Linked DNA regions of Drosophila melanogaster. The protein of the gene in region 1 interacts with the protein of each later gene in a pairwise test. Each region holds a gene or a part of one and is shown on either strand. Other genes may lie near its edges.

The links.
Region 2: the proteins of BOD1 (region 1) and Sf3a2 interact in a two-hybrid assay, tested with the Drosophila melanogaster proteins (one large-scale study listed by BioGRID).

The regions. Positions count from the first base shown.
Region 1 is NT_033777.3:27,936,869-27,943,586, reverse strand, and holds BOD1 (biorientation defective 1), read right to left. Parts: upstream 5,026-6,718; 5' UTR 4,893-5,025; coding exon 4,669-4,892; intron 4,611-4,668; coding exon 3,940-4,610; intron 3,881-3,939; coding exon 1,454-3,880; intron 1,153-1,453; coding exon of another isoform or gene 1,145-1,152; exon of another isoform or gene 1,003-1,144; coding exon 869-1,002; 3' UTR 809-868; downstream 1-808. Other genes in the region: NSD (nuclear receptor binding SET domain protein), read left to right, coding at 5,838-6,156, 6,250-6,718.
Region 2 is NT_037436.4:12,812,248-12,815,839, reverse strand, and holds Sf3a2 (splicing factor 3a subunit 2), read left to right. Parts: upstream 1-1,820; 5' UTR 1,821-1,932; coding exon 1,933-2,727; 3' UTR 2,728-2,812; downstream 2,813-3,592. Other genes in the region: CG42588 (uncharacterized protein), read right to left, coding at 960-1,308; Sap130 (Sin3A-associated protein 130), read right to left, coding at 3,011-3,160, 3,224-3,331, 3,390-3,560.

The DNA.
Region 1 (6,718 bases):
TTAGGCAAAGTGCGAAATTCTTGTTAAAAGTATATGCTAATGATGATACTGTATCTATGTTACTTTGAAATGAGATAACCTTCTTGTAAAATACTATTACCTATGTATTACAACCTTTGATTTACAACAATTATATATATATTTTTTTTAAACAATTTTCAAATGATATACGCATATACATACATATATTTATGTTGATCGTTGTAAAGTAATCAAGAGCAAAAATGTAAAGCACACGCTCGCGCGGCAGAAGGAAAAATTCAATAATTTGTAATCAAATTACAGCCGAAATCTTCAAACTGAGATGTTACAAAATATAAGGAACAGCAGATACAGCAGAAAACAGCTCCCAGAGAACTACGTCTCCCCCAGACCTACAATGCCCCATAATCTACACCCGGTACTATAACTAACCAGCCCCATGTAGAGAGCCGTAGCCTAGCTATGTCCATTGTCCTTGCTCCACGCACTCGACTGTTTCGATCTATCATCACACATTATCCTCGTCTCAGTGCTAGAGTTCCACATCCTTGAGTAGCAGACGCAGTTGAGTGCCGGGGATCAAGGCTAGTGGATCGCCCAAAATATACAATAATGCATCATATTATTACGTTCACTGTTATTTTTGTTTATATATATGCATAATATATATGGATATGCTGCACCGGCGACTATTAAACTGTAAGGTGTAGCGCTAAATTACAATTTTATTGTTAAAGAATTCAAACGAAAAAAAAACAAGCGGAAGCAAAACCATTGGCAAGCGAAATGGCCCATTAAACGGATGAAAGAAACGAAGACTTGTTTTATGTCAAATGCATTAACAACAATTGCCTTTTATTGTTTCCGATAACAGGTTATCCGTTGGCTAGAGAATGGAGTCCAGGCCCCGGCGACGAGAGCGCTGCGACAGGATTGGACGGGGCTTGTAGAGATCATCGTTGGTGTACCGCTGCTGCTGGCAGAGCTTCTTGCTGAGTCGCCTGGCGGACAGGGCGTCTGCTGATAAAAACAAGCACTTTAGTCACACGCATTCACGGGAATCGCTCGAAGCATCAACAATCGGCGGGCAAAGGACAGAGAATCGCGCGGGAACCGCTTACCCAGCTCCATTGCGGTTTGGTTAGGACTACTAGTGGTGGCTTCATACAGCTACATATTATGTATATTAGTTAACAATGCGGATGCGTGTGGGGGAGAAAATAGAGGCGGTAAAGAAGAATATTGAGGATGAGCATGAGAACAGAGATGTATGTATGTAGATCACATTCGCAGGGTGGATCGATTTGTGTTAATTATAGACTTTATTATCAATTTTTACTTGATTTTCACTAAACGTTAAGACATACGACAATTCAATTGCATCGATCCACCCTTTGTGAGAGTTAGCAAAAGAGAGATTCGAGGAACAAATGCTACACCAAATGAAACTTAGCAATGATACAGTACGCACCATGCTCCTGCTTCTCCAGTGCCTCGTTCTCCTTCGAGTTTATGCTGGCGTCAGATGGTGTTGGCGATGACTTGGGCTCGTCCTGTCGCAGTCTCTTTGCCGGACTGCCGGCGGTGCTGCTGCTGCTCGGACTTCTAGGCTGCGGCGGTGTCGTTTCCCGCTCCACTCGATGCTGCTCCTGCATGCTGCTCCGTCTTCGCTTGGAGAGGCTGCGTCGCAAGGCACGTATATCCACTGCCTCCTCCTGTGTTCCATCCTCACTTAACCTGTTAAGCAAATTCTTTCGATCCTCTATCAGTTGATTGATGAGCTGCAGACGCGTCCTAAACTCGTCTGTGTTTTCTTCGAAGTGGGTCACAAAGTCGGCACTAAATTCGTCGCTTTGCTCATTCGAGATTGGGACTGGTGTGGCGGGTTTGTCAGCATCTTGCGGTGGATCCTCCACATCGCCGACTTGAGCAGGTTCGTCGACGCACTCTTCGGGAGGATTTTCCGGTTTGCTCTCCTCTTCTGACTTATTCTCTTCGACATTGGTCTCTACCTTTTCGTCTTCCAATGTATCCATGCTTTCCTTGGCTGGCAAATCGGGAACGGAGTCAGCTAAAGTTTGAGGTTCTACAGTTGGCACTTCATTCTGCGAAGCACACTCGTCTTGCCTTGCCTCCAATTCTGTTTTTTCCGGCTGATTATCCGCCTCTTTTCCGTCTATATCTTCGGGTTCATGCTTACTGCTCTCCGCTCTGTCATGCGATTGGGATCCAGCGGTCAGTTCAACAAAACTGCTCGTCGATTGCTGCAGGATGTCGCTCACGATGACAACACCGCTGACATTGTCGCAAGCACCATTGGTGCTGCCGTTGGAGTTTCCATTCGTGCCGTTAGCATTCTCCACGGGCGCATCTGATTTCATTGTAGCTGCTGAATCCTCCGGCTGGGAGTTCTTGGCCGGACCACCAGAACTTGGAGGCTTCCCCTCGTCGTTTGAGTCGGAACCCCGACGCTGCTTATACTTTTCTTTGCTCTCGCTATGATCATCGTGGATAGCCTTGTTCTCTGCACTGCCAGAAGTGTTTGATTTGTTACGATCACGATCGCGGCCTCGGTCGTGATCTTTTCTCCTTGACGACGACGAGGAACTGCTACTGCTGTGGTGGCTGCGACTTTGGCTGTCCTTTTCCCTTTCCTTATCCTTCTCCTTGCCTTTATCTCGTTCCGATCGCGAGGATGATGAACTGGACTTGTGTTTTTTGTGTGAGGAAGATTCGTGGCGTGATGAAGAAGTGGTTCCCGAGCGCTTGGATGACGACGACTCTCGATTACTCCGGCTAGATGAACTTGAGGAGCTCTTATCGTTCTTGGAGCTACTACTCTTATGCTTCGAGCTGGAGGAGTTCGATGAGGAGTGCTTCGAGCTGGAACTCGAGGAATGCTTGCTGTGCGATTTGTCGCGACTACGATCGCGGTCCCGATCTGTGCTCCTTCGCCGGTGTTTGTCATCTGAGTGCCTGTGGTGTCGCCGATCCTTTTCCTTTTCCTTATCCCTAGACTTCGAATGGCTTTTTGATTGCGAGGACGTGGATGTTGGCGACTCCGTGGACTCAGACGCTGTGCTAACAGCGTCTTTTGGTGCATCCAATCCAAGCTCTAGGGGTTTATCTTGCTTGTCTTCAGTTGTTGCTGGTTGCTCATCTTCTTTGACATCCGTGTTTACATTGTGTGGTTTATCCCGAGTTTCCGACTCCTTGGGTGTCACGGCCAGCTCTGTGATGAATCCATTACTACCTTTCGCCCTTCGGGGCGTTATAGCTGCCTCAGCTTTTGGTGGGGCTGGCGGAGGAGGAAGCTCGACTTTCGGTGGTGCTGGAGGAGGAGGTGGTTCAAGTTCTGTGGGTGCCGGTGGAGGAGGTGGTTCAACTTCAGCTGGTGCCGGTGGAGGAGGTGGTTCAACTTTAGTTGGTGCTGGTGGTGGTGGTGGCGGCGGTTCAACTGTAGGTGGTGCTGGTGGTGGTGGTGGCGGTGGCTCAACTGTAGGTGGTGCTGGGGGTGGCGGTGGCTTAATTGTTGGTGGTGCTGGTGGTGGCGGTGGCACAAGTGTTGGTGGTGCTGGTGGTGGCGGTGGCTCAATTGTATGTGGTGGAGGTGGATCAAAACGAGGTGACGCTGGTGGTTGGGGCCCTGGCGGCGACTCAACTCCTGGTGGTGCCGGCGGAGGAGGCTCTACTTTTGGCGAGGCTGGCCGCGGAGGAGGAGGCGGATTAACTTTCGGCGGTGCTGGCACTTGTACAGGCTCCGGTGCTATAGACTCAATACTGGCATTGTTGGCGTCGTCTATGTTTGCCTTCACCTCCGACATGATCTCATCCTCGATGGAAAGAATTTGGAGGCCTGTGCTAGTCGTCTCCGACACCGAGTTCTTTCGCTCAGTACCTGCACGAAAAAGAAATCGTAGAAGTTAAATAACCCATCGTGGCGCCCGGCAAACCCACCTTCGAAGGTAATGGCATCCTGTTTGATGTCGAAGTGAAGCTGTCGACCTTCGCTTCGGCCTGTTCCCGCACTAGCATCCCAAGAGTTTTCGCTGAACTTTGGCATTTGCGCTTCCTCGCAAATGTTCTCTGGCTCCCCACTGTTGTGAGCTGCTGTGTGCTGGTGGCTATCAACCATGGACTCCGTGGACGACGCCATGGTCAGGCGGCTGTCACTGGAAACCTGCGAAAGTTGCGACGCCTGGGAGACGCCGTTCACCGAATCCGAGTTATTCAACGAAACGTTGTTCAGCTCCTCCTTGATGGCAAGTGTTTTCCGCTCGCTCACTAGCTCGTAGGATGGCGAAGTGTCCTCGTCGTCTACACCGGGCGGAAGTTCGTCATCCCTCGACTCCGACTTGACGGTAGCCCGATCGGAGTCTGGACTTATCTGCTCCAGGTCCGTGGGCAGCAGACCAACCGTGGTCTCCACATTGAGCAGGCTGCTGCCGTTCAAGTGGGCACCAAATGGCGGCAAAGGCGGAGCTGACAGCATAGTGGGTCGCGCAGGTGGTGTGATGCCCAGGTACTTGTAGACAATGCTCTCGATCTTTGGCTCGAATATGGTAGCCACCTTGGGATTGACCACCTGGTCCACGATTTGGTCCACTCCCTTGTCCAGGACATCGGAGCTGAAACAGTCGATGTGATTACCCCAGGTTACCCAAGCCCCGCCAGAAGCATACTCACTCCATAAGGTGCTTGCGCAGCCTCTCTCGCAGCTGGACCTTGTTGGTCTCGGGCGTCCATTGCTGCTTGGCCAGAAAATCGTTGACCGCCGTCTCCACCTGGGTGCGCACATTCTGGTAGGCGGGCTTCGTGTCCACGTCCGCCAGGCAGCAGTTGAATCGGAATTCGTCGAAGACGCCCTGCGACTTCACCTCGGCAATCAGTGTCTTGATAAAGTCGTCCATGCTCCTTGGCCCTTGTTATTCGTGTGCTTTTGCTTGCCGCAACACCCGTGAGTGCCGAGGAAATCCAGGATAAACGTCGAGTTTGTCTTTACATGCGTTTACATGTATGTACATATGTTTACGCTAGGGATGGCCGCCCCACGTGAGTTTCGCCCTGATTGGATCCGGGCGTCGTGCGTGAGCGGTAGCTATGCCAACTTCTCAGTTTTACTAGCCAAATTTGACGAATTGCAGATACAGATACATTTTTACTTTTGAGTTATGAATGAAAGAATAATAAAGTATAGAAATATTTGTGCCACCGAGTTTTTACCTTTAAAGCCAAGTTGCATTTAATCAGCTATACATTAAGAACTTAAATGTTCATATTAATGTAAAATTCAGGTATTCACGTTGTTTTCGGTAAGGTGAAAGAATTGAGTTAAAGTTAAAATATTTAGTTTTGGAAAACAACAATACATGGCAGTATCTGTTAACTCCGAATAACTATTATAAAAACAATCTGTAACGAAGTCCCCTGGCCAGTGTAGTACCTCAGTCGTGGCTAAGGAACCTTTTCAAAAAATTTATATAGAAGGTTTAGAAACCTGTAGTTAGAAATTTGTATTGGATGACGTGCCTGAGAGCGAATAAAAGAACACCCCGCGGCGCTTATGATTTAGTTCAAAAATTATTATAAAAATTATTATTAATTATATAACTATACTATAAGTAAAAGAAAACACTTCGCCTCACTGTGCATTACGGTGCGAATCTTGGCTAAGTATAATCGATAGGAATGTGTGACGCCTATCTTTCAGCGATCGTATCGATGGATCGATAGCTACCGCGATGCCCACGGTTGCAGTCGAAGTTTTGGCGCAAGCGAAGCCTCTGTGTTCTTAGAAATTGTCGAATTAACGGTAGTGTTTAATTGACGAGAGCGCGATTAAACTGGACCGCAGAATGAAGCTGAGCACGGACGCGCACTCCGAGATCGAGGGCGACGCTGCCCACGGCAATGTGCTGTGCAACTCCGCGTCCGATTCCCTGACCGCCACCGACGAAGTGGCTGCGGGCAACGACGAGTCGGTGGCCACCGAAGGCGATGATGTCGAAATTCCGAGGGACACCAACAACAGCACTCCGGTTCGACTGCTGGACAAGCCCGGCCAAAACCCGGTGCAGAACGGCGCACAGCCCGCGGCGGAGGAGTCGGAGCTGGAGAGTCAGCGGCAGACGCCAGTCCAAAAACAGCAACAACAGCGTGTGTCCATGGTGAACAGTAAGTGTAACAATGGCGCAATATACCCCGCCGTATGCCGTCCATATGCTAATATATCTGCTTTTGTGTGTGCGCCTGTGTGTGCTGCTTTAGGGAAACGAGATCTTATCAACTTGCAGTCGGCGCTGAGCCCCAAATATATTGGCTATGCCAATGCCAACTCACCCACGCCGCTTTCCGATTCCGATGACACAATACGCACGACGAGGCGACGCGTTAACCAAGCGGCGGCTTTAAATAACAGCAGTGCTGGCGAGACCCTGGCCCATGATAATGCGTCACCAAGGACCCCCGGGGGAGGAGGAGGAGGTGGTGGAGATGATAGCGCTAATCAGCTGCTCAGCAAGACCTACATGAGCCCCATCGAGAAGCTGCTAATCAAAAACGGCGCTAGTTCGCCCAACAGCACCGGTTTCGAGGCGGGCTCCGAGGACCTGGGCATACGGCCAATCGTTCGCAAGCACGTAAAGCGCAAAATGAAAAGAGTGCCGAAGGCGAAAGTAACCCTCGAACTGGACGAAAAAAACCAGCAAGAGGTTGACGAAAAGTCAGTAAAAACGGA
Region 2 (3,592 bases), on another chromosome or scaffold:
GACGAGTAGTCAAAAAAAATATTTACCCTTTCAAGGGTATCATATTTATGAATTAAGCTCATTATCCCTATTTTACAATTAAGTGTAAAATTTTATTTGCTTTTGACCAATTAAATTTTCATAATTTATGGCTTTACGTAGTTAGTACTCTATCACACAACAACAAAAATTAAATGATTATTGATTAAACTCATTATTCAATTGTTAAAATTTAAAAAAAAGTTTTCGTTAAAAACTTTTTGTGTTACATTTAACAACAACGACAAAAATATTGAAGTGTTCTAGTATTAGCAGTATATTTCATCTCATTTCAAAGAAAAGTACCAACTAATCTAAATGTCCCGAATTAATTTTTTTTTGGTTTTTTAAATTTATTTATTAAAAGAATATTAAAATATACATAAAATATCCTTGTAAAACATGTGATTCTCTTGGCTTATTAAAATATCGATCGTTTTAAATAATTAAATACCAAATTATGTTATTCAATATAAATTTTATTGGCAGTATGTTTTGGAAATAATAACGTCCTGTTTGACAAGTGAACATATTGTAGATGTTCAGATACAGATACAGATGGTTAGCCATCCTAATATTTCTAACCTATAGACCTGAATTTTTAACAAAAATAGACTTTTTTAAACTAAAAAAAATTATTTTAGGTTGCCATTCGAAATACGTAAAAAATAAAATATATCGAGATACACGAAAAGAAAGTGAAGGCGCCGCACTCACTGCGAGACGAACTCAGAACAATTAATACAAAAACTAACTCTTTGACAATCTGTCGGCGTCTCAATCAGTTGCACCATCGTTTTGGTTTTCGGTACTGTGCCCAAAACTCGTAGAAGCATTTAGACGATTTTCGTATCACTTGGTACAAAACCCCTGGGTTTGTAACGGTTTTTTGGGCGATGCACAGCTTAAAGCAAATATATATATATACAAGTATGCATTACCAGGCTGACGCAATTGTTGTTGTGGCGACTGCAATTTGCTCTCTGGCGCAGTTGGCGTCGACTGCGCTGCGGCAGAGGTGGAAAGACTGGTGGACGATGGGGCGTCCACCCTCTTGGCATCCAGCTTCTGCTTCCTAAGCACCTCGGCCAGCTGCCTATCGAGTCCAGCCTCCTTGAGCTTGTTGAAATCCAGCTGAATCTTCTTAATTATTCGCTTGGGCGGAGCTGCAGCAGTTTTGGTGGCGTGTGGAGGAGGGGCGCTGGTGGGATTACCGGGCTTCGGTTGATTAGAAGTGGTGGTCATTGGCGCCGGTGGACCCATGATGACCTGTTTGCTGGAGTTGTCCATTTCGCGGTTACTTTAAAAATCGCATAAGACACTGGCACTGTTTATTCCACGAAAATGACGACAGAAATCGAAATTCTTAAACACTCGTTGCTTCGATTTTTCTCAAGTCCGACGTAATCCACGCAGTGACATTTAAATAAAACACGCTTTTCGAGGCCTAGTACTTGTCACCAACACTAGTTTACTTTAGTTTAGATCGCTGTCTAGACATTTTTCACTTTTTAAATTCTAAAAAAGATCAAGCATGTGCAGCTCGAATTAATAGTGTGACCGCTTTGAAAAAGTAAAATATTCTCAAAGCTTCGGAACGAAAATATACCAAAATATTATATGTAATTCTTTAAAAAAACATCGCAAAAGGAATATATAAGTTATTTTATGTATATTACAGTTTGCAAAAATTTGACTATCATTAAGAATTTTAATGGATTTATGAAACATTCTATTATTTATTTAATACTTTAATCCTGCACACGAACTATCGATTGACTCTGATAAACTACCACCCCTAACCGAATTGGCGTTTCTTGACAACCCTGTTCTGTACAACAAATTTTCATGAAATTTTACCAACGCAAAACGTTTTTCCTTCGTGCGGTTGAAAACTAAAATAAAGTTTACAAAATGGACTTCCAAAACCGCGCCGGCGGCAAGACCGGCAGCGGAGGCGTAGCCTCCTGGTCGGAGACGAACCGCGACCGCAAGGAGCGACTGCGTCAACTGGCCCTGGAGACAATCGATCTGAACAAGGATCCGTACTTCATGAAGAACCATCTGGGCTCCTACGAGTGCAAACTCTGCCTGACGCTGCACAACAACGAGGGCAGCTATTTGGCCCACACGCAGGGCAAGAAGCATCAGGATAATCTGGCAAGAAGAGCCGCCAAGGAGGCAAAGGAGGCACCCTCTTCGCTGCTGGCGCCCGAGAAGCCCCGCGTGGAACCGAAGAAGTTCGTCAAGATTGGACGACCCGGCTACCGGGTGACCAAGCAGCGTGAACTCAGCAACGGCCAGCAGTCGTTGCTCTTTCAGGTGGACTACCCGGAAATCACGGAGTCCATTGTTCCGCGTCACCGCTTCATGTCCGCCTACGAGCAAAAGATCGAGCCGCCAGACCGCAAGTGGCAGTACCTTCTCTTTGCCGCCGAGCCGTACGAGACCATAGGGTTCAAGGTGCCGTCCCGCGAAGTGGAGAAGAGTGAGGGCAAGTTCTGGACGCACTGGAACCGTGACACCAAGCAGTTCTTCCTTCAGTTCGCCTTCAAGTTCGAACCTAAGATCCTGCCGCCACCGCCGCCGAATCTACATAGGGCACTAGGCCCCCCAGGCGGATTCCCCATGCCGGGACCGCCACGTCCTGCTATGCATCCCATGTTCAATGGCGTTCATCCACCGCCACCCATGCTTTCAAACAACTAATTCATCGACAATGTTTACGGGATTTCTCCAAACGCAAGCCGATTACCACAGAAATATTCAAATAATAAACAATTTTCTACTTAATACAACTCGAGGGTTTTTGTATTTGTGTTTCTAGCTTAATAAATTGAAAAAATATTGCTGGTTTTCTTTGTAGCTGTACGACTTACAAATCGATCGCGTTTAAGGTAATTATCTTGGATTCTATAATTTCTGCTTAAATTAGGTAATGTACAACTTATTAATACACACTTGGCTGGCCATCTCCGTTCGTCAATTACTTTTAGATCTTTTCGCGCTTCTTGAAATTCCTTTTCGAAGCGCAGCGGGTGATTATATTAGAAACGTGTGGCTTATGCTCGAAGATCTTCATTAACTGATTCTGTGCCTCGTTGATGCCATCGGTAATAATCTTGCTGCGTTGAATGTTTCCCTGCAAAGTAAATTGGTTTTATGTTGAGATTCAAGCATAATGGATATAAGTATAAGAGCGCACCTTTAGCAGTTCAGTGACTCGCTCAATTTCGCTGTGCTTCTCCTTGTCCTTTTCGAGATCCTGCAGCATGGTCTCCAGCCTGCCCAGACTAAAGACTTCCGATTCATTCTGTAAGAAATCAGTTCAGTCAAAGTAGCCTACCAATACTTTCGTGCCCATTGCTTACCAAGTCCTCCATTTGCGAGCGTAAATGATAAATTTTCCATCCATTGATTTTGCCCTGCACATTTGGCTGATTGGCCAGATCAATGACTGTGGCCCGCCGCTCCTCCCTTGGCTTAACATCAGTGTACCGATGAAAATGATTGTTGGCCAACTTATGTGTGGGCTTATACGTCTGTAGATCAACGGAATCATTTGTTAACTACC